Linked DNA regions of Daphnia pulex. The protein of the gene in region 1 interacts with the protein of each later gene in a biochemical or structural test. Links are inferred from orthologs where the notes say so. Each region holds a gene or a part of one and is shown on either strand. Other genes may lie near its edges. The genes, in order: serine/threonine-protein kinase VRK1-like and barrier-to-autointegration factor-like.

Region 1 (4,433 bases):
TTTCTCAGTGTGTGTGTGCCTTTCGTGATGACCCGTATTGATCCGTGTGTCTGTATTATCTCTCTGTATTATCTGTCAAAAATATATGAAAAAAAACTGAGAAAAATAATTTCGACTTAGAGCGTCACACGATGAGTCATCCACCGTTACTACTATTATGTGCGAGCGCTCTGACTGAAAATCTGGAACAATGGCTTCCACACTCACACAGAGAGAGATAAGGGCTACTAGGGGGGGATTCTCTATACCCTTATCATTATTTGGGTATTATAATATCGGGTGTAGGATGGAAAAATAAATTCCGACTCGAGTTACTACACTGGCACATCACCTGATACAACATGGTTGAAACAGACGACTGTGTAGAGATGCTAATTCAATTAAGAGAGCGTGAAACCGTGTCATAGACGCTGAAGGGACGGACTCTCTAAAAGCCGTTAAGACGGATGAACATGACTCAGGAAACGGAAGCTGGAAGGGTGAGAGGGGGAAATCGATCACGTGGCCTATTGTTGAAACCTCAATAGGTGACTAATCAGCAAGTTTCTCCCCCCTAGCAGCACGAAAGTCTCTTCAGCTGTCTGTCAAATATTTATTCCCCTCCCGATTTTTTCGTCGTTGTGTCTGTGACGTCAGCTCTTTGTCGATGAGTAACGGACGCCATCGATGCGTCATCCGGAGCAAAGCAGCAGCAGCAGCGGCTCTGATTTCCCAGAGACTCTCTTGTTGCGCCGATATTCATCTGTCGATCCGCTTAACTTTCTACTTACTCTGCGAAGGTGTATTAGTTTTAATCTTTTTACCAGAGACCAGAATTTTATTTTTTCGATTGACATTTACAATTCCGGATGAGTTCAATTCCCAGGAGCCAATGAAAAATAAAAATTTATGTTTTTTTAAAAAAAATCCTTTGGGATTATATTTTAAGGTCAACATCTGGATTCGATTGATTTATGATTTGACCAGAGAGTATTAGTCATCATTTTCCACCCCTTGAATGAAAATCAACTCTCTCTCCACCACCAACAACAACCCATTGTCATCATTATAATAGACGATTTATACAAGCCTACTCTCCCCCGATACTGGGGAAAAAAGTTAATCATGATAGATAGAAGAAAAAGGCTTTTTTGTAATATTTATTAGGCGCTGCTGCATTGATTCGATTGGCCCGGCTGACGTCGGTCGTTTAAGGCCATAAATTATTGGCCGATAAGAGAAAAAACGGGAACCCACGGGGGACGTGTAGTATAAAAATAACAGGAAACTGCGTCAGCACACACACACATGCACTTTCCTGACATAAACAACACATCTGAAATGTGTTTGAGACGTTAATAGGCTTCGCCGCTATATACAGCTAGAGAGACTCGAGCGCTTCTAATTAGCATACAAATGTGTGCTGGGCTTTTTAGACGGCGCGCACGAGAGATGTCGCTCCGCCCACGTTCGTTTTCAATCAAATCGTTAATGGCCATCACCGAATTGGGTTTTCTTTTTTGATCGAAATTTAATTCGATTTGGTTGGAAAAAGAACAAACAAGGTTTTATATTATGCATGCATTATTTATTTTTAAAAATCGTTTTTGTTTGGGAAAAGAAAGCGCCACCTCGACCGTAAACGGCAATGCCGCAAGGCAAACAATTAAAATGGCGGATACCAGTTCAAAATAGACGAAAAATAACCGCCGGCCGTTATAAAGATCAACTGACGGCTCATTGTAAGTTAATCCTTACATTCTGATTATTAAGTAATTTCTCGTCAATTTCGACTGGCAATTGAGTGGTGAATGAACACTTTTCAAGTTGACAAACTGTTGTTGCTAGGTGCAAGGGAACAGACGATTGTTTTGGCCTTGTGATTTACTGACATCGAAGAATATATATACCGACTTGTGGGTGTATCAATGTCCTGGATACGTTGACGGTTTTTAATTTTCAGAGTTATTTCAACTAAAACAATGCCTCCCAAAGCTGCAGCCTCTCGGCCTGCTGCTGCCAAGAAAAAGGCTCCAATACATAAACTCCCAGACCCAATCAGGGATGGAGAAATTGTTCGTGATATCCAGAAGAGACAGTGGAGGCTCGGCAAATCCATTGGTGTCGGGGGGTTTGGAGAAATTTATGCAGGTATATTCAGTCTGTTCTGAGTTAAATGAAACATCATCTAAATCAACATTTTTTTTCTTCTTTTTCAGCGTCTGACAATATTGATAAACAAGTAAACGCAGCCGATGCACAATATGTGATCAAAATTGTAAGACAAGATTCTTCATCTATTATTCAAGATGTTTGTTTGGATTGACACTTTTGACTATTTCACAGGAACCTCATTCCAATGGTCCGTTATTTGTGGAAATGAATTTTTACATTCGGGTAGCTAAAGCAGATTTCAGTAAGTTGTCAACAACATTCTGAAGCTTTTTCGTTATCAATGAGCTATTATTTCTTTGTCATTAGTTAATGAGTGGATCACTTCTAATAAACTCAAATTCCTGGGTATGCCCCGATTCATCGGATCTGGCTCGCACGAATACAAAGGTGAAAAGTATCGTTTCATGGTCATGCAGCGATTCGGCATCGATGTCCAGAAACTCTTCGATGCCAACCAGCGTCGTTTCCCTCTCAACACGATTCTCAACTTGTCGCTGAGAATTATTGACGTATTGGAATATATCCACGCCAAACAGTACGTCCACGCCGACATTAAAGGCTCCAACTTGTTGTTGGGATTCGGCAAAGGTGGTGAGAAGCAAGTGTGGCTCGTCGATTTTGGACTTGCTTGTCGCTACACGGTCGATGGTGTCCATAAAGAGTACAAGCCGGACTTGAGGAAAGCTCATAATGGAACTATCGAGTTCACCAGTCGTGACGCTCACATTGGAGGTACATAATTTGCTTCAAAATAATTATAGTTTTTTGGTAAACATTCTTTTTTGTTTCCAGCCAATGGACGTCGTGGTGACTTTGAAATTCTTGGCTACAACATGCTTCAATGGATGTGTGGGAGACTTCCGTGGGAAAGTAATTTGACGGATCCAGAGTTTGTTGCCAGTCAAAAGAACAAGTACATGTCCAACATCCCGGCTCTCATCCAGGAATGTTTTCCAGCCAAGAACGCCCCTGGTAACTAGAAATCGATTGTGTTTTCATCTTCGTAACTTAATTTCTTTTTTTCAAAAACAAAAAACAGCCGTCATGGTGAAGTTCCTGGAAATGGTGGCGAATCTAAAGTTCGAGGAGATGCCCAACTATGACAAGTTCAGGCAATTACTTCGGCAAGGCTTGAAGGATGGCGGTTTCCCTGACGACGGGGCGCTCGTATTCCCTCATCTCAACAAAGGAGCGGGTAGCAGCAGCGTGCGTAGTTCACCCAAGAAACGCTCGGCTCCACCGCCGGTGCCAACCGATGACGAAACGGAAAACGGAAATGTCAAGCAAAAGGCCAAAACCAGTATTAAAAAGAGTCGAGAGCCTTGCTCACCCAAAGTCACCAACCGGTAATGTCAATTTAATACTTATTCATTTTTACTATGTGTATACTAATTTCATTTAGTTGTTCAACTCGTAGGACGACGAGACGGGCCAATATGTCGCCAGATTGTGATACGACAGATTCCAGCAGTCTCAGCAGTACGACATTGGCTGTAGTCTCTAAAAAGAGATCGGCTGAGAAGAAGGAGCGTTCCAAAGAATTGTCGGCTAAATTAGACACGTCGCTTAGCAATCCCACCCCGGCTATGCTGGCCATTTTGGCCCGGATGCGTAGCAAAGAGGAAACACCTTCACCGGCCCTTCCATCGAAAAGGAAACAAGCCAGGTTTGAATAATTGAAGGGTTTTCCTTTAAACAATTTTGTACTTGTACTTAAATAAACGATTCATTGATAATTTACTTTGGCATTTTAAAATTTACTAAAAAGGTTGGACAGCCGTTCGTGTAGCCCAATCGATCTCGATTCCAGCTCGATCCTGACTCCCGCCATGGAAGAAGTCATCCGCGTGAGAGAAGTGCGTAAAAGTATGGAACAGAGTGGACATTTTTTCACGCCCATCTGCAGTCCGATGACTACCACCAACCCGACTCCCATCAACCCTTTCCAGAGTCCGACTTTGACGCCACGAAACATGGACCTGTACATGACCATGGATTGTACGCCGGAAGAAGAGGAGGAGCCTCGACGGAAGAAGAGCAACGGCAGTGGCAAGGGCTTCGTGACTCCATCCTCTCCTTCTAAACGTGTTCTGAGAAATCGACTTCACGAATCTGTGATTTTGGACGATTCCACATCATCGTCCGTCAATTCCAGCACCGCTGGTGAATCGTCGTCGTCCACCACACCCGATAACAAACGCCGAGTTGTCCACAGACGTAATTGAATCCTTAAAATTTGAGTTATTCATTTAAAACGAGTTGATTATTTCTGTTTTTTT
Region 2 (3,157 bases), on another chromosome or scaffold:
TTGCATGTGGAATTCCACAGAGTTTGTTACTATTTTCAATCAGCATCTAGATAAAGAATTAATGATGTCGTTTTCCAAATGTGGTCCTTTAAATTATTACAAATTCCCAAAAGTTTACCTGAATGACTTTAGCTGAGTTCTGAAGTTTACTGCAATTTTGCCGATCGTTTCGGGATGAAGCAGTAATATTAACTGGCATCAGTGTTGGTGCCATCACTATAGAAATATTGCTAGCATCCATAAGATTCTTTGATGAATTAGAAGCTACAGCTTCAAAAAACTACTCAGAAATAAAAATAAAATAGTTTAGTCAAGATCTATTGTTTAGTTTACACTGAAAACATTTCATACCTGCAATAAGTAGCATAGTGTAGCCAAAGCTTGCTGTGGAATAAGCAAGCATGTCAAGTGAAGCATTTGTGAAGCTTTTTCTAAGCTTTCCATCTGAACACATCTACAAAAGAATAAGTTATTTGATTGGTTCTACAAGTGCTATAAAAGTAACTTAACATACTTGAGTAAAACATCATGCAGTTGATAAGGAATCAATGGATCTGGAAGCTCTCTTAGGAACTGCTTCAAAATGTTGGCCAAATCTATTACATCATGACTGGATTTGAACTCTTCTTTTCTCTCCAACTGACGCTTTATTTCACGCTGCCTGCAAGCAGATCCAGCTTTCCTAAACAAGCCTTCGGTATGGACACCCTTCAAAATTGCTTGGCAAGATTGCACAACAAATGTGGGAACTTGTACTAAAATATCTCCTTTAGCACACACTGGTTTAGATCCATCTGAGCTATTTCCTAATTCTGATTCAACCATGATAAGAACTTGTTCACACTCCAGCAATTCCAATGGCTGACAAAACAGAGTTTTCTTCTGTGGATCCTAAAATTAGAGAAAAATCATTTTTATAAAAGAAATCTGTGTCACAATATAATATTGATAAATACATTGTTTCTTGTTGGTTTCCTCCATCTACCAGTCTCTTTGATTCCATGTTTCTTTAACTCTGACCAAACTAACGCGTTAAAAGTAATATTGTCTTCTACATTGAAAATGTGATGCATGATGGATCACTTAGCTTTCTTACAACCCAATCCTACGTGTTTTCAACATGCAATATGTAGAAAACGGTTTACAACTGCCCGGGAAATATCACGAATTGCCTACGTACTCGACCTAAGTTCACTTTACTGCACAAAAGCAGCAAAAGTTTTTTATCTCTTTTTTTGTCGTTTTCAAAATGCGTATTTTAAACCAATCAAATGACGTTTAAAGATTAGACCACGCCTAGACCTGACGATGCCAAATTCTTTTAACTTTACTAGGCCTAGGGTGCGCAGCGCTTAGTATTTAGAAGTGTAAAAAGTACATTTTTAAAAATTTAAATTCAGTTACAATTTTTAATACTGAATAATAATTATTCAATTTATTTTATAGCTTTGATTTGCTTAATTTTTGGATATATAAATTTGATAGGTGTTTGGCATCAATGTTCTACTGACTTTCCTAAAAAGGAATTTGAATAGAGTCTGCAGCTGCAACCCAACAAGCGTTGTCTAACGTCACGCAGAGTTAGAAAACTGAAATCAATTTCTTCCTTGTCCATTCCATTTAGTCCTGATTTAGTCATTTTGACAATTTCTTCAGAGGTAATTTTAATTAACAATTGATATCCATTCTGTCAAATTCTATTCTTGTAAAGCTAGTGAAAGTGTCCTCCTGTTTCTGGGCAACGCACACCTAAGACAGAATAACGGTTTTACCATTCTTCATTTCTTGGCTTGAATGAAATGTTCATATTTTACATTTGAATAACATCTACGAATTTCCCCAAAAATCGTGTATTGTAGTGTTGATTCTTGGTGTGCCTTCCAAAGAATGTTGTTATAAACTAGATTTGCTAGTGATTCTTTGTCAGTTCTTCAATGCCAAGAGTGACATTTTTATTTTGAATTGCAGAATGTCGTCCACCTCACAGAAGCATCGTAACTTTGTAGCTGAGCCTATGGGAGAAAAAGCTGTTACAGATCTTGCTGGTATTGGAGGAGTGCTAGGAGATCGTTTAGAAAAGAAAGGCTTTGATAAGGTAAAAAAAAATAAATTACACTCTCTCAATACCAGCAAATCAATATAATTCAATTTAATAAAATCCATTTAACATATGCAGGCATCTGTTGTATTGGGACAATTCCTGGTCTTAAAGAAGAACAAAGAGCTTTTCGTGGATTGGCTCAAAGACACAGCTGGAGCCAACGCCAAACAAGCAGGAGATTGTCACCAATGTTTGTCAGATTGGTGTGATGAGTTTTTGTAATCTTTTACCATTGATGTTGATCGGGTGTTCTGCTATCAGTCTCAATTCACCACCACCTATCGTAAATACTTCCAGCACACACAGCATACTCTTAAAACTTTTAATACCTGCTCGCCGCTGCCTTGGTGGAAGGGCACTGCATCGTATATATTTTAATTACGCATGTATGTATGTCCCTATGAAATTAACATACAAGTTATATTCTGGAAAACCAGCCATTAGTGGTTCTTCTAAATAAAAATCAAAATATAATTAGTTCAATGTGTATTTTTTTTTCAATCAGACAATGTTTGAAATTGAGTTTTTTTGTGGGAATAGGGGAAGGTGGGGAATAGGGATCTTTCACGCACACTAAGTCGGGGCCCTAATAATAGACTTTTTGTTGTTCGAATCGTAGATTACATTGAGAGAACATGGTTGCAGCAGCAAGAATAGCAAAATCTACCCAACTGATATCGTCACACATTTATCCACTTGTATTTCTTTTTTTGTATTTTTCACTTGACTTCTTTTCTTCCACTTGTTCCTTCTCTTCAGTCAACGATTAGTAGGCGATGACAATTCGACGCACCCAAAGGGAAAAACCGAACGTCTTCTTTCATTCATACTTACCAAGTAGTTTTTCCTAGTCTCGTAATAATAACTACAGTTGGAAAGGGACAAGACGGGAGGGGATTCAAATTTAAAAAGAACGCACGGCAAGCAACAAGGACGTTTGTTATGTGGGAGGAGGTGGGTGTAAAACATTATCAGTAATTTCCGGAATAAAACTTTTCCCGACTGATTTTTCACAGACATGCACGAGAACCCAAACTCTTGACATTTTTTAAAAAC

Evidence for each region.
Region 2: of the proteins of serine/threonine-protein kinase VRK1-like (region 1) and barrier-to-autointegration factor-like, one has a biochemical effect on the other in vitro, tested with the Caenorhabditis elegans proteins (2 studies listed by BioGRID). The link is inferred for Daphnia pulex from reciprocal best matches to the Caenorhabditis elegans genes vrk-1 and baf-1.

Annotation. Positions count from the first base shown.
Region 1 is NC_060018.1:12,622,623-12,627,055, forward strand, and holds the start of serine/threonine-protein kinase VRK1-like, read left to right. Parts: upstream 1-1,612; 5' UTR 1,613-1,721; exon of another isoform or gene 1,722-1,751; intron 1,752-1,827; 5' UTR 1,828-1,961; coding exon 1,962-2,130; intron 2,131-2,198; coding exon 2,199-2,257; intron 2,258-2,325; coding exon 2,326-2,395; intron 2,396-2,460; coding exon 2,461-2,886; intron 2,887-2,946; coding exon 2,947-3,126; intron 3,127-3,193; coding exon 3,194-3,500; intron 3,501-3,556; coding exon 3,557-3,820; intron 3,821-3,922; coding exon 3,923-4,371; intron 4,372-4,433. UniProt on the Caenorhabditis elegans protein: Serine/threonine kinase that phosphorylates baf-1, thus regulating the association of baf-1 with chromatin and nuclear membrane proteins during nuclear envelope formation. May act through the egl-17 signaling pathway.
Region 2 is NC_060020.1:3,950,762-3,953,918, reverse strand, and holds barrier-to-autointegration factor-like, read left to right. Parts: upstream 1-1,504; 5' UTR 1,505-1,658; intron 1,659-1,968; 5' UTR 1,969-1,969; coding exon 1,970-2,095; intron 2,096-2,176; coding exon 2,177-2,323; 3' UTR 2,324-2,588; downstream 2,589-3,157. Other genes in the region: uncharacterized protein LOC124192967, read right to left, coding at 1-46, 119-280, 352-454, 515-891, 957-1,073. UniProt on the Caenorhabditis elegans protein: DNA-binding protein which plays an essential role in nuclear envelope formation. Required for normal chromosome segregation during mitosis. Associates with the nuclear lamina via its interaction with LEM domain containing proteins emr-1 and lem-2.